3 linked regions of the Oreochromis niloticus genome follow. The protein of the gene in region 2 purifies or fractionates together with the protein of the main gene of each other region. This does not show direct contact. Links are inferred from orthologs where the notes say so. Each region holds a gene or a part of one and is shown on either strand. Other genes may lie near its edges. The genes, in order: usp46, phlpp1 and usp1.

Region 1 (7,345 bases), on a different chromosome or scaffold from region 2:
TTCTAAAAAATTTGAAGATCTCAATTTTCTGCAGAAAGCACACACTTCCACACATCTTGCTTCCTTTGGTCAGAACAACAAGTCATGTCAACGTAGAAAACGGATATAGTCTAAATAGGTAGACCCGTATCAAAAGTCGGGACTCTTGCTGCACCCAATTGCTGAGACAGAGCACTTATCTCTTGTCAGAGGCTTTTCACTTGTCAGAGCTCAAAGCTTTTTCAAATGAATCACAGCTTTGTTGAGTGAACACAGCAGACAATTTAGGTTGGGGAAGGCTTTGACTTCTAATGACTGTCATTTCTCATCTGTCAAAGCAGACAATGGATACCCGTCTGTCCGGCTTACCACTTCCAGTCTCCAATGTTTTGGGAAACATGCAGGTCCCAGGAGAGACGAATTACCAAGGAGAGTCCACACATGAATTATCCATCCAACCTTTACTGACATCTGAAGCCACATTTTGAAATTTGAGCTCCTTCTGATAACAGGAAGTGGGCAGTGGTATTGTTAATTTAGAAAGGAATAAATTCTTAAAGGAGAGATATTATGCTCCTTTCTACATGTTTATTTGATTAAGAGAGACAGCTTGAAATAACAATTATTCATCCAACACTGAAGGTGCACTGTTGCCTCACAGCAAGAAGGTTCCTAATTGAACTTGTTGCCCTGCATGTGTGCAGTCTGCATGTTCTCCTTGCTCCTGCACGAGTTTTCTCATGCAATTTAGGTTAGTCAGTGTTAAGAAAAATCCATGGATAATAATAATAATGATAATATAATGACTGGTGCAAAACACTGTAGCATTTTATCTGCCCATATCCATCAGTGCGTCCTTAACTTGTAACATCTCGATTAGATTACTTAGTTAAGACTATTTAATAAATAGGGTTAGGGACATACTGAGTGGGAATGCGCCGATCTGATATTTCGATCAGGATAAAAAATGTTTTTTAAAAAAATCACATGATGATGGCTTCCTGTGAACTGCTTGTTCCCGCTTTATGTCTGGTGGAACACTTGTTGCGAGGCTTTTACTAGTGTAGTAATATATATATATTTTACTATATATACTATATATATATTGCAGTTGGTTTCACTGGAATATACCTAGCCTGCTGGAGGCTTCCCATGAGTGTTTCTTCTTCACTCACCTCTTTTCACTCAGTGTATTTATACAGCACTATTCATTTACCCATGACTTATTATTAATCTCCGCTCTCTCTTTCACAGTGTGTCTTTTGTCTTGTCTTCCTCCCCACACCCCTCAACAAGTTGTAGCAGATGGCTGTCCTTCCATGAGCCTGGTCCTGCTAGCTTTTTTTCCTGTTAAAGGGGAGTTTTTCCTTCCCATTGTCACCAAGTGCTCATACTGTCTTAGCCTTACAATATAAAGTGCCTTGAGGTGTCTTTGGTGCTCTATACATAATACTGAACTATGTGTGTGTATATATATATATATATATATATATATATAAAAAAAAAAAAAAAAAAACACCCAGCGCGCCCCTGCGGCGGTTTATCCTTCAAGCTCGGGTCCTCTACCAGAGGCCTGGGAGCTTGAGGGTCCTGCGCAGTATCTTAGCTGTTCCCAGGACTGCGCTCTTCTGGACAGAGATCTCCGATGTTGTTCCCGGGATCTGCTGGAGCCACTCGCCTAGCTTGGGAGTCACCGCACCTAGTGCTCCGATTACCACGGGGACCACCGTTACCTTCACCCTCCACATCCTCTCGAGCTCTTCTCTGAGCCCTTGGTATTTCTCCAGCTTCTCGTGTTCCTTCTTCCTGATGTTGCTGTCATTCGGGACCGCTACATCGATCACTACAGCCGTCTTCTTCTGTTTGTCTATATATTTTGTTTTTTTTCCTTCTGTTTGACTCCCTTGCCATTAATTATTTCCAGAAAAAAGGACAGGACAAAACATTGTTGTAAAATTAAAGGAGATTCTGAATATATATATATATATCTAGAAACAAAAGAAAAACACCACACATCCTGATGAGATATGGATTAATATATCAGTCTGTGCAATCTAAGAACTCCAGCAGCTCTAAGATGAGACTGACACTGCAGGCTTTTCACATTAGCATCTAGTCTAAATAAAGCAAAGGCCACTGGCATTAGGCAGAGCCGTTTAAGTCTGTTCTTACCCACTCTTCACTGCCCCTGAACACCAGGAGCACAGATTAGTGTGGATTCCTGCTCTGTGCTACCAGGATGTAACCGGTCCTTTGCTGCAGCACCACATTATGCAATCACACCAAGCTGTCAAAGGCAGCACGCTCCCCCCATCCCTCTTGTCAATCACCGGTGACAACTATACAAACTGTACATTGTGTTGTCTCGCCAGGATGCAACACACAATGCAAACGCTCCCGGCAAGCTGCAGCGTGCAAAGGTGCACAAAAGGGGCCCTGTCTGAGCGACAGCACTGAGACCAACTAAAGTATGGGGCCACGATTTAAACTACTGTGTATACTCGTTTTTTTAAAAAAAACCCTGCAGTGTGCACATTCTCTGGGTGCAGGTGGGAGGCGACTCATCACACACACACACTCTCACACACACAACCAGGTTCAGCACAGTGCCTGCAAGCGGATCGATATCAACACGGAAAAGCAGCGAGTTACTCACCATATTACAAATGGAGGCGATGTTTCTGACAGTCATTTAGTTTACAGTGTCCCCTTCACCGCCATCTTTATAAAATAAATAGAGCAAGGCGACGCTGAGCAATGAAGTTAATTCGCAGTCGAGGCTGGAGGCCAGACTGCAACCTCAAGCGTCAGAAAGCAGGCAGAGAGGCACGGAGCACCATGCAGCCGGCACGGAGCTGAGGGGGACTCTCAGTGTGGACACGGCTGCATCCTCGCACACATATCGAACACCCCTCAGCTGGAAAACGACAGTGCACGAGGGGACAGACGAAAGTTGCAGGCAGCAGGTTGTTAGCAACGTCTAGGAAACGAGCCTGCTGTGTGAGGAAGCATTACAGTCCCGCCCACCAGGGGAAACCCCCGGAGCTGATTGGTCCGGATTTAGTCGAATTGATTGACATGATTGAAGAGCCACATACAGACCTGCACGGTAGAGTTTAAGTGAGCCGCAACCAATCATCTGCGATTTAGAGCAGGGATTTGTAGTTCGTTTTGTGATTTGTGAAATTTAAAAGGACTGAAGGGTTTATGCAAAAAGCTTTCTAGTGACATAAAAACATATATTATGCTTTATAACACAGACAAGTAATTCCCCCATAAAGAAGAAAGAAGTGGTGTGAGCCAAAAATCATGTTTTCAGGTCTAACGACGCAAACAGCACATTCTTAAACCAGCAGCTTTTTTTTTTTTTGCTATATGATACCTTTTGAAGTTGTCAATACATATGTTTTAAGAGTAGTCGCTGTAGCTCAGAAGCTAGAGTGGTTCGCAAAAGGTCAGTGGTTTGATTCCTGCCTCATCTGGTCTGCATGTCCAAGTATCCTTGGGCAAGATACTGAACTCCGAGTTGTCCCAGATGCATCCACCAGTGTGTGAGTTAGTTAAAAGTACTTAAGCATAGAAAAAAAATTATGAATGGGTAAAGACACTGAATTTGATTCCATTTCAATGCAATTTTACATTATAATATTAGAGAGAAAACCCAAACAATCAGATATGTATCTATGATCAAGCAACGGTGAGAAGGAAAAAGTCAGTTTTAACAGGAAGAAACCTCCAGCAGAACCAGAGTCAGGGTGGAGCAGCCATCTGCTGTGTCCCGTGGAAAGGAGCCAGAGTTCATGAATTACTAATGATTACATACAGTACTGGTGTATAAACACACGGGCAGTAAAAAAGAGATGAGTAAAGAAGACTTTACTTTTCAGCGTCAATTTCTAAATAGGCTGTTTCTAAATATTAGAGATATTGTGAAAATGACTAAAGGGAGTCTTTACATATTTGTGTAATATAGAAGCCGTAAGAAGATCGTTATTTACAATATTCACTAGTGCTGTTTCTGTGCTATGATGTATTTTAAATCCTGATTAAAATGCTTCAAATAAACTATTCCTTTGGAAATGATCAGTTAAAAGTCACAGTGATGGTTTAGAGGAAGACATTAAGTTAACTCAGTATGATCAATTGGACAGAAAGCGTCTAAATAAAGAGTCCAATATCAGTAATTTTGAAAGTTGCTGTACTTAATGGCACATCTTTTTTCTTAAAAATTTAATTTTTAATCAAAACATTTATTGAAGTCATTTTCTGAGAAATCAGCTAGAAACTATGAGGTGAATGATAGATAACAAATAAAGCTGTTTTTTGAGTTTTCTGGGTCTTTGGTTGATTAATAACAGGGAGTGAAAGATTGCAGCCACTCCTCCTCCTCGGCCTTAGCTTTGAGGATTCTGACAGTCAGTATGACTCATTTAAGCTAACGTATTCATCCTGCATCCTCTGCTTCCTGGTTCCATTTGACCTTGAAGTCCACATCATGTTTTGGACACCCAGCATTTTAAGGAGAACATGCAGCTAACCATGTCACTCCTGGCACGAGACTCAATATTAAATTTTAGTGACCTCCGATTGACGCAAATGGGTGTCATTACTGTCATTGTGATTTGCAATCTCACTGAATATATGCTTACTTTTAGACAGCAGTATCAAATTTTCTCCAGTGTTGTCTGCTCTAGCCCTGGAATACAGTTAACTATGGTTACTGGAGTCTCTAGCTTCACATTTCTAAAAGTGCTTTGACTACTCAAATGGAGCAGAAAAGTATGAGTTCAGTTACTAGAATTACTGTTTCGCAATTTTTCCAGTATTGTAATTTACACCCTTGTCTGTCCTGTCTCTTATATAGAGATCTGCCAGCAGAGATTATTGCCACCAGTTCAGTATCCAAAATAAAATATGATCACAGTCTCCTTTATTTCAAGGCTGCGAAAAAGTGTTTTTGCATAATATTACAATGCAACAATTTTGACCTCTTGGTCAAAATTGCAAATTTCTTCATCATTTTATCCCGTTTTACATTTCTGGAAAATTTTGCCATTGTCATAAATTTAGGAATTCTTGAGTTACAGGTCCTTGCATGCAAAGCTGTTTTCACATATGCACTACACATTCCCGGGCAGAGTTACACATAGGAATCCAAATGTCTGACTCACTTAGTTCAGCCAGTAAGTGGATTTTAACCTGCCAACTCTCTAGCATAAAGACTGTGTGATATCAAATTAAGCCCATGTGTGAACAAAGCAGGTCATTGTCTTGTAAACTTACAGTAAGCGAATGGGTGTCATGTATTCTACCTCCTGCATGTGCTGCTCAACTATTCAGCTTAAATTAGATGAAATATTTCCAGTAGTAAAAATGCATCTGAAGCAACACGAATCTCTTATTCTGTGCAAAATGTCATAACATTAACAACTTGAAAACAAGTAAAAACAGCCTGGGTGAATGTGATCATATTTGAAGAATTTCTATCCAACAGATATTGTGTTTAACCTGAAAACAAACGAAAAACAATCGAACAAGGCATACAAGAAAATTAATATTCAAATTTCATAAATATATGGCATTCACATTGAGTTTGTTTTATTTGTCCAGGAAGTGAAACTCCTGAGATTAATTACCTCTTTGTAGGATTCTTCTGGGGCCAAGATAGATATATTCCAAGTTGGCAATACCTATTTATTCGGTTTTTTTTATTTAAAAAAAAGAAGAAAGCACTCCTGAATAAAGCCCAAACAAGCACATATGGAACATGTAAACTCCACATAGAAGGACCCTGCCTGAGTTTGAACAAGAATCCATTTACTGTGAGACACCAGTGCTAACCAAATTCACCAATCCAAAATCAGTTTGGAAAAGGTAACATAATATATCCTGTTTTCATGATGCATCCCTTGGGATCTTTCCTGGAACGCTGCTTGCTTTTTAAACCTCTGCTTCTTTTAAATTTCAAATGGCCTGTTTGCAATCCAGGCCTTCTGTTTAAAAAGTAGACCTCAACCCTTGATAATATCAAAAAGAGATTTCTTTAGACTTCAGAGGAATCCTTTCTGAAACTGAGAGGCCTCAGAGATAATCCTTTACACTTTGAAAACGTATGTTGTGTACTGGCCATCATTCTTTTGCAAGGTGACATTCTGTAAATTATCATTTAATTTCCAGTTATTCGGTTCTCTAACTGACAATTAGCTGACCATGAGGAAGAGAGAGAGGGCATTATGAGGTAAGGACACCTCAGGAGTCCTGGGCCCTCGGGACACTCTCATTTACCAGCAGCTTTGTTTGTGCTTTCAAAACATTCCCTCAGCAATTATCCCCTTAGCATTTCAATATGAACAAAAAGAAAGGAAAACAATGAATAATTATGACAGACATACTTCAAAAGGGACGGGAAAAGGAGAAAGGAATAAGAGTGTTAACAGAAAAACAAACAACAGAATAACAGGGGGGACAGTTTGAGCTGTGGAGGATGGGAGAGCTACATTGTTGATCAGATGTTTTGTATGCACCATGTACTTACTCAGAATCTTGCTGACTGATGTGTTCTCATGGTTTATCTGTGAAAAACGTTTGATGGATGGGAAAACAATTACATGTGGTTGAAGCTCTTGGCTCTTGACACAAAACATTCCCAGACTTGCTTTCTATTTCGGTCCAGTCAGTATTAATAGGACAGAGACCACAGTGGATGCAGATGCCATGACTCATACTGCTTTTATTGTCATTTTTCCTGCTCTTTATGTTCTCAGTAAGTAACCATAAGAGCAAGAAAAATATGGTCATTGTAAAAGCATTTACAATGAAACCCAGCTCCTGTTCTGCATCTCTGATGATCTATTCCCTGATGAGATCAAATCAGTTTTATCTCCTATCTCTGTAACTTTGCAGGACAGCTCATGTATCGGCAGAAGGCCTCAGGTGAACCGAAAAGGTGGGTCAATCGGTCTGCGTTTATCTGGAGTTTTAATCTCTCTCATCTAGTGTTTTCCTCTTCATGTTTAGGTGGAGCTGACAGGACGTCTGCATTCACAACATGTAAAAAATGAACCTCAAAGAACCTTCTCTGCTTGCCTCATTTGAGACCAGAAGTGGGGCTAAATGTTTGGGCAAGGGAACACACAAAAAAATTTTTTAATCTTGAGTTTCAAAAAAAAAAGTTTCCAGTAAAAGAGGCTGGCTACGCCGCTAAAAGCACCGATGACCTTCCTGTTGTTTAGCTGCTACAAAGAGAGGCAAAATGAATTATGCATCACGAGGAAATAATCCTTCCCAGTTTAGGCTGTGATTCACTGCCGACTTGTGACATCTGGCACAGGCTTCTGAAACATCAAGGTTAGGAACAGTTTATTAA
Region 2 (8,079 bases):
GTAGATCTGTAAAATCAACATCCTTTTGGAACGTGACCTCACTTTGACCCATTAATGCAAGCACACGGATAACCTGAACATAGCAACCCATCACTGGGAAACAGGCTTAGTCTATCAGACCTTTAATAATGACCCTCTAAACTGTTGTCGCAGTTATCAGGTTTTGTGCTGCACTCATACTGCACAAGCTCATCCTGTGAAAATATTATCCTACCTCTGCAAAACGGATATGGTGTCATACCATACAAATGTCTGAATCCACCAGATTCATTCTTTCACAGGTTAACAACCTGTTCCAAGCACTACAACATTACGGATCTCTACTCCAAACAACACAGGCTTCATATAAAGGCCTCAGTAAGTATCAGCATGAGCAAAACACACATGGATCGCGATGGTATGATATTATAATGATATTAGTCATATTATACATGTATACACAGACACGTAGTTTCATTTACCTGCATAAAAACGTAACAAGGAGCCAATTTCTGTGTTAAGCCCCTCCTCTTGAACTCTCCACGGGTTCTTAAATCCAAGCTTAAAGAGAAAGTCATTCTGGATCTGCAGAGGCCTCTCATCTGGGCTAAGCCTCCTAACAGCTTCACCATGCAGCTGAACATACAGTGTGGGGCTGGAATTATAAGAATCTCCATTCTGGTGTGCTGTGAGCCCTGTTTTTACGGCCCCCTGGCTACAGTCCGGATCTTGGATGTCAGGTGTGTTACCTGTAGAACCAGCTCTTGACAATGAGCCGGAACTACTGCTGGGTGGGAGGCTGCCCAGACTGTGTGGGCTGAGTCTGCTATCTGGCCCCACGTCGCTTAAATGTCCCACGTTGCACTGCTTGTAGTTGGCAGTGACAGCAGTGATGCCATTAGTATGATGCTGGGAGATGGGGTCCATGCTTGAGCTCGATGCTGGGCAGTCGAGTTCCAGTTCGTCTGAGGAGCTCCCGTACATGTCATGGCCCTCTGTGGCACTATCAAAGGAGGGACTGAGGATGGATGCTTCAGTTCCCAGGATCATGTCATCACTCAGGGAGTCCCTGTGTTCACTGAGCCGGGCCCCGGAGCTCAGGTCGTCAAATGCACTGCTTTCTACATCTGAGCCAGAGTTTAATCCATAACTGTCCACACCGTTCCTGTGCTCCGAATCATCGTCATTGGGGGTATCCATGTTAGAGTTAGAATTCAAGTCTGACAGCGAACAGGTTATGTTGTCTTCTGACTCCGGGGTGAAAAGTTTTCCATCAACGTCCTGTTGCTTTTGCCTGACATCTGCGTTCTCCATGAGGAGCAGTCTCAACCTGTCATTTGGACGGGTCCTTAAATCTGTGGTTTCCAGTGGGGTCAGGTGGCTGCATTTTATACTCGAGTCTTCTTTTACCTTGCCCTGATTATCATTATATTCATAATTCACGTTACAGTTCCCATTTTGGTCCGTCTTGGAGGCGTCTTTACAAAAAATACGCATTACAGAGCTCGACTTGCTGGAGAGTTTACTCAGTCGGAGGGCCACCTCGCCGGCTGTGGTGTCCATAGTGCAAAGCACCGGCCTGGGATACGAGGGCGTCAGTCTGTCGTGGACATGTATGGCGCCCCGGTGGAGATCTGCTCTCACCCACTCGCGATCTGCGGACTGCAGCTGCATGTTCTGTCGGTGCTTCATCAGAGTCTTCCTATCCAGACTTCGAGTATGTAAAGACGCAGAGGACAGGGCCGAGTTCATCTTCGCGCCGCAAGCGGCTGTGACAGCTGAGGTGGTAGTGGTGGCTGCAGCTGCGGCTGAGAGGTTCCTCTTCAAGCGCCTCCGTCTCAACAAGAGCGAGCTGGAGTTGCTGGATGAGCTCCGGTCATTAGACGCCACGGCTCGGTTTGACGCACTAGTCCCCGCTGTAGAGGCGGAATGAGAAAGGCTATTCCCGTTCTTTGCCTCAGCGCGGGAGGGTGCCAAACGTCCACCGCCATCATCCGCTGGAGTCCCCGGGCGACAGACAGTCCGCTGGGCTTCTTCATTAACTTGGTCGCGCCTCCATCTGACGCGCCATCCTCAGCGACAGCCTGTACACTTTCCATCCCTGCCAATGAAAAGTCCCCCGCTCTAAATAAATAACGGTGCGCACTTGGTTATGCCTAAAAGCTCTACATTTAAAAGCCCGAATACGTGCCCGCCGCGCTAAATGTCCGCCAACTGGGCGGTGTTGCCGAGTTATTCCACTAGTAGTCATTCACTCCTCGCCTTCCTTTCCCTGTCGGAGTCTCCTCCGCTGCTCCCCAAAAACATCTTACTGATTAAATTCGCTGGGAAAGAGGCTGGACGAGCAGGGACAGATCAGGGCGGAGACGTGACTGTGCGTCCCATTTGGACCAAAACACAGCGCTAGAATATGAAATGAACGTCGGCCGACCTCCTACGCAAATACCGACTAATATATATTCATGAGGAGGACACAAGATGGGGGTCGCTAACAACAACGCGGTGCATTGTGGGAAGAGTATTGCGCTAGCTAGCGTCTTGTAGTCGCCGCTGGCGGGACGAAACTGTTAAAAAAATACATTTCCCAGCAAGCCTTTCTGCACTTTCAGTCAAGTGAGGCGGTGAACAGTTGAGAGGCGTAAACATAGCGCCTATAAAATGTTTGGTGTTGCGTTACAGATGCCCGTCCTGTGTTTACTGTGGCGAACTCACCTTTTGCTACTTGTACGCTAACAGCGAGTAAAACTGTAAGACGCAGTCACACAGTGAGTTATCGATGTCAACTGTTGAATATGTGAGGAAACTTTCAACTGTTATCGAGGATTCCTTACACATTAGCTAGCTTACACGGCGGTTATTTATTTTAAAAATAAAAGAGAAAGTTTTTGTTATGCTACAGGGTTAAGTTAAGCCTCGCTGTAGGTCTAAATGTTTTAGACAAGTGGTGACGAAGCAAATAACTTCGGCACCATCTCATCAGGACGCCATTTCACAAGGCCATACAGTCCGGCACAGTGTACGTCGACTTATTCTGTTGTATTTTCCGCCATCTAGTGGAGCGTTGAGGCCACAGCGAGCCTTACTGTACCAGACAGACTTGTTCGCATTCTGCCGCATATATTACAGCAGTATAAACCCACACAATGTAATTTGGTTTAAAAAAAAGTACGTTTTACCTGTGTGGAATTAAAAATCCTGCAAAAAAAGACCAAAAATATTATGTCATTAACGTCTACTGCTTAGGAGGAGTGGTTATTCATTTGAATATCCATACATATTCAAATGAAAAACGTTATTTTTGTATATCGGAAGTCTCAATGCGTAAAGGATTATAGTTTATTTAAACTGTCAACTTTGTTAGGATCAGCTAATCACATGGCAGTAATTCAGTGCATTCAGGCATGTTGACATGGTCAAGATGACCTGCTGAAGTTGAAACAGAGCGTCAGGATGGGGAAGAAAGGTGATTTAAGCAGCTTTGAAAAAGGCATGGTTGTTGGTGCTAGATGGGCTGATCTGAGTCTTTCAGAGACTGTTTATCTAAACTGTGTCTGTCTCTATGTGTTTGCCTTGTAACAGATTGGCGACTTGTCCAGGATGTAACCTGCCTCTCTTTGCATGATAGCTGGGATAGGGACCGGCCCCCTATGACCCTGAATTTCTGTAAGGAGAAGAAGATGGATGGATTATCTACTAAGATGTTCCCTCATAATCATCTCCAGGGTTTGTTGATGCCAGAGAAGAATACCAAGGCTGGTCTGAACTAACAGGAAGGCAGGAGTAACTCAAACACTTGTTGCAACCAACATATTCAGAAAAGCATCTCTGAATGTGCACATGTAGAACAGGGGTCCCCAATCCCAGTCCACGAGGGCCGGTGTCCCTGCAGGTTTTAGATGTGTTCTTGATCCATCACAGCTGATTTAAATGGATAAATTACCTTCTCAACATGTCTTGAAGTTCTCCAGAGGCCTGGTAATGAACTAATCATGTGATTCAGGTGTGTTGACCCAGGGTGAGATCTAAAACCCGCAGGGACACCGGCCCTCACGGACTGTGATTGGGGAACCCTGCCCTATATACATGTGCCTCAAAGTATCATAAGGAATTACCTAATGGTCCAAACCTGATTTGTAATATTCTAAACTGAGGTACATTTTACACCTGAATTGAGACTGTAAATTACAGTCTTCATGGGAAAGTTTACTGGACCATAAGAAGAAGGCTCTGAAATGTAAATACTGTTAGTAAACATTTCTATCAATAAAACATAAGCACAATTTTTACTGTATATACTCTATAAGTTAGTAACAGCCCAAGAAGAGTGTGTTTTAGTGATCTTAGACTGTAATTACTACAAGGATAAAAGAACAAGCCTAAAATATGTACAAAAATAATGCATACAAAGTAAATGCATTCAGAAATGGAGTTTAATTGGCATGATGTATCCTTTACATAGTATTCTGTAGATTAAAAATGGGGGGAAAAAAGAGGACTGCATTCAGTTTTTGTTCAGTTGCTCCACAGACATGTAAAAGGAATCAGATTATTGCTGACATCATGTTCCTTGATTCCAGCAAAATGGAAAAACCTCATGCTCAGCCCGTTGGCTCAGGTTGTTACTAAAGAGCTGAAAATGAGAACTGGAGTTTATTTTTAATATAAATTCCTCCCTATTCCTACTATGCTTGTACTGAACCTCTGGACTTAAAAAAATGAAAGAACATGTTGAGATGGCTGAATTATACAGAAGCTGCTCCCAACACGAAATACCACATATATTAAAGTGTCTGCAATTAGATGACCCATTGAAATTTTGATATTTAAAAAAAAAAAAGAAGAAGAAGAAGAAGGGGGGTTGACAAGAAAAATACTTGTGTATTGATTCTGATCTGAAATTCAGCAAACCCCTATCCATTCACATTCAAACCATGCAGTGCAAAACTTTTTTTTTTTGTCGTCAATTCCCTGATTTCATTAGGTCATCTATCACCGCGAAAACCCTGTTAATTTGCAGACAGATGTATTGTAAAAGGCGAGCGGCAGCCGTTCAACTCCACTGTTTCTTCATCTGACAATTTCATATTGCAACTTTAAAAGCAATACAGTAGAAAATAATGAAAATATTCTGTGCACATAAAGCTCGTGAGCACTGGACTACTGGTGAAGGGTCGGTGATCAGGTAACAAAGACCACTGAAGTGAAGAGACACACTGGTTACACCTCAGAAATCCAACAATATTTTACACATTTGGACTTTACCTTGAAACAACGGCCACTTTAAAGCCACACTCTTAACAGTGCAAACTATATTTAGGAATAAAAATATTTAAAAATCCTGACTCAGTGAATACACTAAAATCAGTGCTCAAATCTTTTGAAATAGAGAATGCGTCCTTTTTTGTTGAGAGTTCCATCAAATCTTGTCCGAATGTGTCGGTAAAGCTGTCAAAGAGGCAGATTTTCAGGTGGCTCAGTCAAGAAAATTGCTGAAAAAAGTCCCCCAGAATAAAGCCTTTTTTTTCCTTTTTTTTAAAAGTAAGGTATAAAAGAAAACTTTAAACCCTGAAGTGTAGGCATAGTATGTACGCACAGTAAAAAACAATGGTGTGTGTGTGTGTGTGTTTGTGTGTGTGTGTGGGGGGGTACACCTGCAGTTTAACCTTTTCTCTATAAACGCTGGGTATTGCTTCGTCAAAAGCTTGGGTGACACAAGTATAAAAGTAAAGTGTATAATACAATGCACGTTATGAGCAAAGATCATTTCACACACTTCTGCAAAAGAAAAAAGACAATGTGGTGAGTCATCTCTTGATATAAATCACACACATCAAAGCACTGACATGTAAAGACGTAAATTGTTTATGAGCCGAGCGCCTCTATAAAAAACAAAAAAAACCAGTTAACACTGTCAAAATAATACAAAACAGGTCATTCTTGCACACACTGGAAACCAGAAAATATCTGCCAGCTGCCAATTTTGACAGTAAATTTATAAGACCGACATGAATAAAATGTAGTTAAACGAGATTCTTCTTTAAATTTGACCTTCTTCAGTATAAACAAAATATACATTTAAAGAGAGAGAGAGTACAGGCGTTAGGCCCAACTCTTAAATTCACAGTTAGCAATTAAATGTCAGCATTTTCGGTACAGTGAGAAGTGCATGAAAGAAGTCAGGACTACATAGTAATGACATAGAGGAAACTCCAGGGGGTGCTATAGTCTAAGAAAAGCAGAAGGAAAAAAAACCGTATTGCACATGATTTTTAATGTTGGACGCCTCCTTCCCTCCCGCCCTTCCTCCTGTTTCTCTAAGCTGTTTCCAAAGTCCCAGCAGGTGTAGTAATGATGGAGCTTCTGCTGACATAATGAGCTCAGAACAATCAACCCTGCATCCTGGCACAAAAGCTGTCCGTAAGGGCTAAAGGAGTCTGGTGTGACAGCATAATAAAGAAGAGGAATAAAAACATCTCCACTGAGACAAGTCTACTGGTGTTATTGACATACCAAGGTACAGTTGCCCTCAGTAGATGACACAAGCGTGCCAATCAAACGAAAAAACTGGTCTGCTATCCAATCGCCACAGAACTGAGTGCCTGCCTGAGAGCTCAGCAGAGAGGTTTAGAGATAGTCGAGCAAATTCCACACGGGGCGGGGGCAATGTGAATCGGCTGGAGTCTTTGTGTGCTACTACATGGATGGAGTAGTGGGTGTCTGCGTCTTGTGGCGTAGTACCGACTCAGTTGTGTGGGACTTGAAAAGGCATTTCAGAAGACATGGCCTTATTGTAGAAACGGGCACCATTTTGCTGTCCAGCACTTAAGGTTCTCAGTGGAGGAGAGCGCCGGTTGGGCACTGCTCGAGACAGTGGTGGTCTACTATGGTCTGTGAAACCTAGAAAGATATTTTTTTTTAAAAAGAGAGAGAGGTTTTGAAGTTTCAAGAAGAAGTCGGCACGTGCGTGCCAATATTTTTGGCTGCATTTGAAGTGATAGCAATCATGCAAGCTGGTAGTTTGTACCTGGTTAAATGGCGACTTGATTCGTGCACTTCCATCTCGTTGCTCTTGAAATCGTTGAGTTCCTTCCTTATAGCTGCCTGCAGAGGACAAAGAGGAAGAAGACTGAGCGAAGCTGCAAAGGCTTAGCTCACAAACGGCAGCCTTTAAGCCCTGACTCCTTTTAGTATGCTTCATGCATTATTTATGCTCATCTCAAAGCCATGAATGAGTCTTCTGAATTCTTTTCTCACATCACAGGAAACTTCAATTTCCCCCTCTTGAGACTTCTAACAGCCCTAACATAATTTACAATCTGTTAATGATCTACTTGGATAGATTCCTCTTTAAATAACATAAAGTTTTGATAGCATTGATTTATATAGGACACATAAAGAGAATGCCGTTAAATGGAATTTTTAGATTTGACCATGACAGATCTATTTTTAGAACATTAAAGCTATATCTACTTTTTTATATTCTTTGGATCCAAAGCTCCAAATAAAGCAGATTTCAGAGTGGGAAAAAAAGCCTGCAGTGATCTGAATGCGTCAGCAGGGGACACTGTGGTGTAATTTCACCAATTAGGCCTCACCAAAGCAAGCTTTTGAGTCCAAACCAGTGGGTAGTGAATCATGGCTTCTGTATATAAAAATGGTACGATACAATCTTTTTTAATGACCTTACGTCCCCTCTACAATGTCACAGCATGTAACAGAACCCCAGTCAGGTGACTGCTTCTCCTGCCTCAGGGAGGATGCGTCCACGGCAGGAGAACAAACAAAATTCTGTGTTGGACGGCAGAAGTAGCAAACGAAAAAACAACAAAATAAAACATCAGCACAGCAGTGTTGGGGGGCTTCTTGAGGCACTGCTTGTCCAATTACACTCTTATGTAAGTGGAGACGTTGCATAACCAAACTGCTGAATCCTTATGATTTCTCACATTTTCACATGAGTGGACCTCAGGTGTGACCCGTAGTGTTTAGGACGATGCAGAATATCTGCTCAGCAAACTCTAGAGCTCATTAAAAGTCTTAGATCACTGGACAGTGACCAGCAGGACTGCTTCAGGGTGTTTCACAAAGGCAAACCAAACA
Region 3 (7,697 bases), on a different chromosome or scaffold from region 2:
TTGCACCAGCATGCATCTGCTCTTATATAACTATCATTAGCTTACAGCTTTAAGTGTTTAAAGTATGTGCTAACTAAACATAAAGACAAGATGATATTTTATTAAATTTTAATGAAATCTGCAGATTGTTTAGGTGAAGTTTAATAAACTCAGCAGTCTGCTCCTTGCTATCTAAAATATAACAGTATATTCTCGAGCATCTCACACTTCTGATAATCAGTTGTCTGTTTGACGTTTATTCAGCTGTGTAAAAACTATAACTTTAATCTCAGCCAAACCAATTTACTCAGGAACAAATAAAATACTAAAAAAAGCCAAACAATATCATTTTTAAGTTATCTAAGTGACTTATATATCACGTTTAACCTGAGTAGCGAAAGACAGCGGTGGGTTTGAAAACGATTTGCCGGGAGTCCGGTGTTCTCAACGGCTCTAGTGAGCCTTGAACCCCGGCTAGCTATCGAGCTGGTGGGTAACAGACGTCTCCGAAAACGTCGGAGCACTTTTGAGAACATGTGGTGTCTTGATAAACTGAGCAGATATTTGAGGTTTACACAGCTACATTCTCGCCTGAAAATAGGTTAAACGTTTATTTTGTGACCCAGAAAGAATAATAAGAGTAATATTAAAACTAACTAGCTGCCGCCATCATTGGAAACTGAGCAGGGCCGCGCTATGAATTCTGGGACACAGCTTCTTCTTCTTTGGGGTTTAACGGCAGCAGGCATCCTTGTACATGCAGTGCTGCCATCTTCTGTTTCAGTCCGTTATTACACTCTTAAATCCTACTACTTACTCCTGCGTCTTTTGGGATCTTACAAAGCTTCAAACGACGCGTCGACTATTAAATTAGTCGTCGACGATTTTGATAGTTGACGTAATCGTGACTAGTCGACTAATCGTGGCAGCCCTAGTTTCCAGAGATATTTACCTACAGAGATGGGTTTTTAACCAACAGAAATGTGCTGACTGGTTGACAAGTGGGCCAGAACAGGGAAAGAAGTTCAAAAAAAAAAAAAAATGTATGAGAAGTACAGTCAGAGGTTGCAGTGGATACTGTACATTGTTTACAACACTCAGTAGTAGCCTACAGACCGGTCGAACCACTTTTTTTTTTTTTTTTTAGCACTGCCTCCATTTGACTACAGAGGCTCTCTGCAGGTAGAACAGTCCAAAGCTCCCCACAGACTGCCATCACACTACAACCGCTGAACCACAATTTCCCCATCAGAAAATTGAACATTCCCAACATCACAAGAACATCCACTTCTGAGTGGGATAACACAGGTGAACAGGTTTGAGGATTCAATGCAACTTAAATCGCACAAGAACAAACCACACACACTGTTAAGTTTCTGTGCAGTTTTCAACTTTTCCTTCAGTATATTTAAGCCCATCCTACCATTTGTACTAAAACACTGGAACAAGTGACAAAACATCTATTAACGCTGGAAATTAACTCCATCTGTGGTAATGGCTCACCTGTAAGATGCTGTTCAAATAGCAGGTATTGCCCAGATTATTGAGTCCCACGAACGGCACCAAGTTCTCTCTCTTCTCGCAGGACAGGAGGAGGCTGGGTGAGGAAGGACACTGAGAAGGCCCAGGGACCACCTGATCGCAGCTGCTGATCGGTTAAGAAGAAAGCAAACAGAAAGTCAGCAGCTAATAAATTGAATTTCACAAATGACAGCCACCATCGCGGGCACACACTGTTTTTAAAATGATTACACTGAGATTAATGTTGAAGTCTAACACCAGCTTGATTGAGATGAAGCCTATTAAAATCTAAGGTGTCACTCATCTACACGTGCATTATCCTGCCCTCACAACAACAGTGGAATTCCCGTAATTATCTAAATGTAACTGTGGGAAAACGAGTGCTTCGGGCTGCCCAAAACACATCAGTCTGGAAAACTATTTGTGTTTGACGCACACTGGTAGCAGAGACCTACCTTGCCTCAGGCTCCTCTGGCTCACATGTTTTGGGTTCTTCTGTCTGAGGTTCAGAGAAATCCAGAGCCCGCTTGGTTTCCTTCTTCTGGAAGAACTTCAGAGAGAGTTTGCTCTTCTTCACTGGGCTCCCCGGAGCCGCTACTACCACACTTTCACCCTGCAGACCTGGCATCTTTCCTCTCAGTACCTTGAGGGCGATTTTTCTTTTAAATTCCTACTGAGACGCAACAGCGAACCTCACTGGTGAAAAATGGAAACACACAATGTAATTTCAGCGGGCGCCATCAGAGTTCAACGAGAACGAACGTAGCTGCGCACTTAAGTTCATGGTCCACTATTGTGCAGCTACACACGGACAGGTTCAGTCTAATCAAGCACACACTTCTCAATAATACAGTCGAACCGGTTATTGACCGAACCACGCATTATATAACATGTTAGCTGGCTAACGCTAACTTAAAGGTGGTACTTTGTTTCAGTCCCTCCCACAAACAACCGCTATAGAACGGCTTACGTTAGCAGCTGTTTTCGTTTTAAATGACAGGGTAGCGACAAATAACTCGGCGTTTTTTGAGCACGTTGCGCACATCACAGCGACAAACTGGCTCGAGAAGGTGCGGTGAAGAAGTGGGAGGAGAAAACAGAAAGCACGCCGTTTCAAACTGTTCACGGCCAAAAAGGACTTCTTTGAAATCCCAGCAGAGTCGAGAACCAAAACTCACCCGAATGCTTCATTCCAGTTTAAGCTTGATATTTTCCATTAAATATCCCGTCTCGAAATGCTTTAAGGACTGTTTAACAATTCAGACGGTGCAACAGAAGTTGGCGCTTTTTCCTGCTTGAAGATTCGTTGGCCGCTACATCGCCGGCAGCGCTCGGATATCGCGTCAAATCATCCGGCCAAAATGTTTAAAAAAAACGGTCACTACTAAGCTTGAAAATATTTCAGGTGTTGCCGAACATTTGGAAATGCGCGCAGAACTCTGGAATATTCTATACCTGAAAAGATTTACATGCCAGATTTCAGGCTAATGTTAAGACAACTATTTCGGCTAGACCCAACCGGCCAGCTCCCAGCGCCATTCTTGTAGTCCTTTCTCCAGCTCCTTCTAATTAAAAGTCGAGCTAAACTTGAACAGTCATTTCTCATGTCTCACTTTTTTTCCCTTTTGAAGGACTAAGATTTTAAATACAGGACATAAAAAAAAAATTGCTTTCATTAAATGAATGTAAAAAAAAAAAAAAAAAAAAAAAGGTATACAACTCATCAAGGCTTCCATGGAAGCCAAGGGCCACAGAGGCTTTCAAATTTCAAGTTGAGACAAGCTGAAGCTGGTCTGTTGTATAAGAGGTATAATTTGGGAGACTGTGCTCTATATTTCTTGAATCCTCTTCACATTTTATATATCTGATCCAACACCAAATTGCGATTTACAGAAAAATGGTTAACATAGAATCAGATGTTTGTATAGAAAGCATAATATTATTAAGTACAAACCAATGAGCAGTGTTGGGGAGTAACGGAATACATGTACCGCCGTTACGTATTCAGAATACAAAATATGAGTAACTGTATTCCGTTACAGTTACCGTTTAAAAAGGTGGTATTCAGAATACAGTTACTTTGGTGAAATAAATGGAATACACGGCGGTACTTCCCTGTTTCATATTGTCGCGGGTCAGGATTGTTTGGGTTTGTTTGACAGCTACGTTCTGTTGTTCCAGGCGGCAGCGTTACGGTTGCCATGGTTACAGGGTGACGCTCTCTCTCTGCGTGTTTCCTGGGTGAGACAGCGCCTTTGTGTTGTTGTTGTTGTGCTAAGCTAATAGGCAGACTGCTACAGGCATAGCTCTAAAGAATGTAGCATCATGGGCAGTGTAGTCCGTGCTGCAGGGAGAATGGACTACCATACCCGTTATGTGTCTGTGAGCGAGGGAGGGAGAGAAAGGAAAAGTCCGAGCTGTCACGGAGCAAAAACGGGAGCTGGAAGCATGTAAATATAATAATAACCACAGCAGCCAAGAAGAGAGCCTGAGGAGCCCATTTGTAAGTAAGCTATTAAGACTCAACTGTACACTGTGTTCGTGTTTTCCTCCGGGAAAAATAAGTTCCGTTGGAGCAGCCTTTCAACGCCTCTCTCTGTCTCCCGCAAGCAAAGTTGACCCAGACAACAAAGTAAAGCTAGTTTTCGGCTACCAGCCCGACACGAACCCGACGTATTAGCCCGAGGTCCCTTTACTACGTTTCGGACCTTCAGTAACAGTAATAAATCACAGCAATAGTACATTCACGTAGTTGTAAACAGCATGATAATATATTAAGTATTCCAAAGTATTCAGAATACGTTACTGTCATTGAGTAACGTAACGGAATACGTTACAGAATACATTTTGGGGCATGTATTCAGTATTCTGTAGTGGAATACATTTTAAAAGTAACCTTCCCAACACTGCCAATGAGTATGAACAAAACTGGGTCCAACAGCAAAAAAAATAAAAAAAATAAATCATTACCTGAAAAAAAACCCCACGAGACTATAATAGTATAGTTATATAATAGTAAATTATGAATTATGCTCAGTCATCCAGGTAAGAAAATCCCACAAAGTTGAATCTGTTCATCTAGAGGTACATTTCAGTGGGAAAAACGTTTCATCTCTCATCAAAGTGACTTTTTCAGCTGACTGCAGCTTTCCCCAGCATTATAAGCAGTTCATTTGCATGATGACTGAAAACACCCACAAATGACTAACAATGGGCCATTGATCAATGATCACAGTGACTGCAATAACAACACTTTAAGATGGTGAATGATGTATTCTTAGGCTAATACAGGGCAGGGAAGCTGAAGGATTCCTGGTTATCCCAGACCATTCTGAACATGGAGGCAAGAAGGTCATTTACATGAAAAGGGAATGACCATCTTTGAAGCAAGGACAGGGCCTTACTTCACCATTTTACAGCGCTGTTTGTGGCTATTCTCCAATTCTCTTTGAATGGTACTCATGGCCACTGATGAATGGTCTTGACAGTTTGCATATTAACGATCATAAAAATAAACTTTGGCCCTGTCAGCTGTTGTGCTGTGCTCTCATTAATGATATCAAGTCATTGTGAGCCAGAACCAAAATCCTGTCACAAGGTAGATGCTGCAATAAAAAAGGTAAAAAGTGTCTGACATTAAAAAATGCCCTTTTCCAAGAGAGAACTGGACAAGCAGAAATTGCAGCAAGTTTAACATCCCAGTCCTATAAAGATATTCTAAGTGGTCAAAAAGGACTGGATTGATTATAATGTAATTACAATAATGGAGTCAAAGATACTTGCAGACAGGTATTTTTTTTTTCAATCTTATACAGTGACTACAGTCTATTAACCAATATAAGAAAAGCTATTACGCATAAAAAAAAAATGTAGAATTGAACTAGATCTGACCTTTTTTGACAGTTGATCACTTTTTGGCACAACAGGGGAAATCTGCAGTCCTCCAAGTTAGGAAGTCACTGCCACCAGATAACCGGGGTTGATTTTCTGGGATTAAGTAAGTTAGTTTAGTTTGAGTGGGGATGAGATTTTTGCACGTACCATTTAAAGTCGTAGATAACAAACCAAGCAAATGTCCTACTAAAATCCTGAGCAAGAACATGGCAACCACCGACTTTCATTAGCCAGTTCTTTTATTTTGAAAAAAGTAAACGGAAGTTTATAGTTTGCAGCTGTTAAAATGAAACTATATATTTTTTGTGGAACCAAAGTATATTTGTGGACTTTTGTTTAATAACGAAGCTTGTCCCACATCAGCTGTTCATAATTGTATTTAAGGAAGCCATTTACATGTATACATAATACATAAAAAGGGAGAGAAACCAAAACGCTTATTGTACAGGCACTGCCCGCTTTGCACCAACAGGGGACGACATTATCCAGCCGAACGGAGATCGATCTGTCCAGTAGTATCATTCCCTCCTTCACCGGAGCATCTCATCGTTTGACAGTCTCCGAGGCTATCCCTCCGCGACTGTGACGGTAAGACACTGTTTACGTTTCCCCTGCTTCCAGCGTTAATTGATAAACCTAAATCTGCTCGAATAGCCGGGCCGCGAGTGCGTCTAGTTTAATCTTCTTTACAGCTTATTTGTATCAGTTGCACTGTTTTGCTTTAACAGTATTACAGAGTGCTTTGGCTGGCGTGTTTTTTTTGTTTTTGTTTGTTTGTTTGCTTTTTTTTTTTACGATATAGAGAGGATCGCATCACCTGAAAGCGGCACAGACATGGGGAGACGGCAGGTGTTTCGTTTCATCCATGCACGTAGTCAGTGCAGGCATTTGTCAGTACGACAGTATGAAGGCTGGACGATCCGCTGCTGCTGTTGCTACAGCTGCTGCTGCTGCTGCTGCAGAGTGGTTGCTTGGTCAGCAGCAACGTACCGATGGACACTGAGCTGCTGTGCCTCAGCTTCCAGAAAACCTCAGTGGCTTTCAGGCTGATGGTGGTAGGATGTTGCAGTAAGGATGCTGATGCAGTAGTGGATGGGAGTACTTTAGGGGTGCTAAGACTTCCTGTGGGACTGTAGATGATGATGCCATCGCCATCCTTCAGTCTGATGGCTCAGAATACTCTTCAGTCTCCAGCTCTGAGGTAGCTTTAACAGCAAACCTCTTAATTAACTTACTAGAGCCTACCAGAGTCCCACACTTCACTTAAAGTGGGTTCAGTTTATCCTAAATCACTCTTGTTGTGTGACTTCATTACAGATCAAACAAGCAGCTAGTGATCTCTTTAGATTACAGAAGGCGGGCCGGGGAGGGGATGTGTTGGATATGCTTTCTCTCTCACTCACCATTTAAATCCTAACCAGGAGACTCACATTCAGGAGGATTACTGTGTTTCGCTTCTCTCATCACCTCCTTATAACAGAATTTTATAAAGAGGGCATAGCCAGGTCACCCACGTATCAAGCTGCTGTATGCTGAAGGGTCAAATGTAAGCAGGGCTTTATTTTCCGGTATTTTGGACGCTGAATACGATAACTGGAGAGATCTGTGCTATGAAACGTTGGTGGCAATACTCTCTCTCACCGGAGAGACTTTCCATTTTTAGAAGGCATACAAAAAAAAAAAATGACTCGAGGAACAGTGATGAAGAAAAAAAGCTTCTCTTGTACCTGAATGTAACACATTCAGATACTGTTTATGGACCAGTTTTACAAGAACTTGAGTAATGAGGTGCTTGAATTATGCAAGTGGCCTTCATCAAGGTTGGCCTTGTCCCACGAGGCCCAAAGCTCTAGTGGCTGGAGCGGTAGAGGTGGGTGGTGTGGCGGGCTTAAAGCCCAAGAGACAAAACAGCCCCCCTCCTCCAGCCTCCAGCCTGGTTCTCTCTCAAGAACTGAGCGCTGGTAGGAAAATGAAAGCATGCTGAACGACAGGCAGTGGTGAACTCCAAGAATGAGAAGCATGTCCAAGTCTGCTACACTTGTGTGCACATATGTACTCAGAAATGCAATGAAAAACAGAGACTTTTCTTTCAGCTTAGAGCAGCTGGGACAAAGGAAAACTGGAGCGTGATCCAAAAAAGCAAAAACACAAGCATAAGTGAACAGTTTACGCTTCTCACTTTTCACATGTTTTGCATCCTGTCTGAGAGGGGTTTATAAGGATAGGGAGAAGAGAATGGATGGATATGTTTATCTGCTGCACTATGACTATAACTGTAACATCAACACTTTATTCCATTCCTT

Evidence for each region.
Region 1: the proteins of phlpp1 (region 2) and usp46 purify together in Homo sapiens (affinity purification with mass spectrometry; 7 studies listed by BioGRID and IntAct, counting the BioPlex papers as one, with this or other methods). This does not show direct contact. The link is inferred for Oreochromis niloticus from reciprocal best matches to the Homo sapiens genes PHLPP1 and USP46.
Region 3: the proteins of phlpp1 (region 2) and usp1 purify together in Homo sapiens (affinity purification with mass spectrometry; 6 studies listed by BioGRID and IntAct, counting the BioPlex papers as one, with this or other methods). This does not show direct contact. The link is inferred for Oreochromis niloticus from reciprocal best matches to the Homo sapiens genes PHLPP1 and USP1.

The regions. Positions count from the first base shown.
Region 1 is NC_031986.2:37,319,390-37,326,734, forward strand, and holds the start of usp46 (ubiquitin carboxyl-terminal hydrolase 46), read right to left. Parts: upstream 3,053-7,345; 5' UTR 2,672-3,052; coding exon 2,636-2,671; intron 1-2,635. UniProt on the Homo sapiens protein: Deubiquitinating enzyme that plays a role in behavior, possibly by regulating GABA action. May act by mediating the deubiquitination of GAD1/GAD67.
Region 2 is NC_031982.2:17,682,522-17,690,600, reverse strand, and holds the start of phlpp1 (PH domain leucine-rich repeat protein phosphatase 1), read right to left. Parts: upstream 3,087-8,079; coding exon 3,068-3,086; intron 2,052-3,067; coding exon 462-2,051; intron 1-461. UniProt on the Homo sapiens protein: Protein phosphatase involved in regulation of Akt and PKC signaling.
Region 3 is NC_031981.2:33,420,663-33,428,359, reverse strand, and holds the start of usp1 (ubiquitin carboxyl-terminal hydrolase 1), read right to left. Parts: upstream 3,048-7,697; 5' UTR 2,679-3,047; intron 2,651-2,678; exon of another isoform or gene 2,471-2,650; intron 2,197-2,470; 5' UTR 2,129-2,196; coding exon 1,956-2,128; intron 1,628-1,955; coding exon 1,483-1,627; intron 1-1,482. UniProt on the Homo sapiens protein: Negative regulator of DNA damage repair which specifically deubiquitinates monoubiquitinated FANCD2. Also involved in PCNA-mediated translesion synthesis (TLS) by deubiquitinating monoubiquitinated PCNA.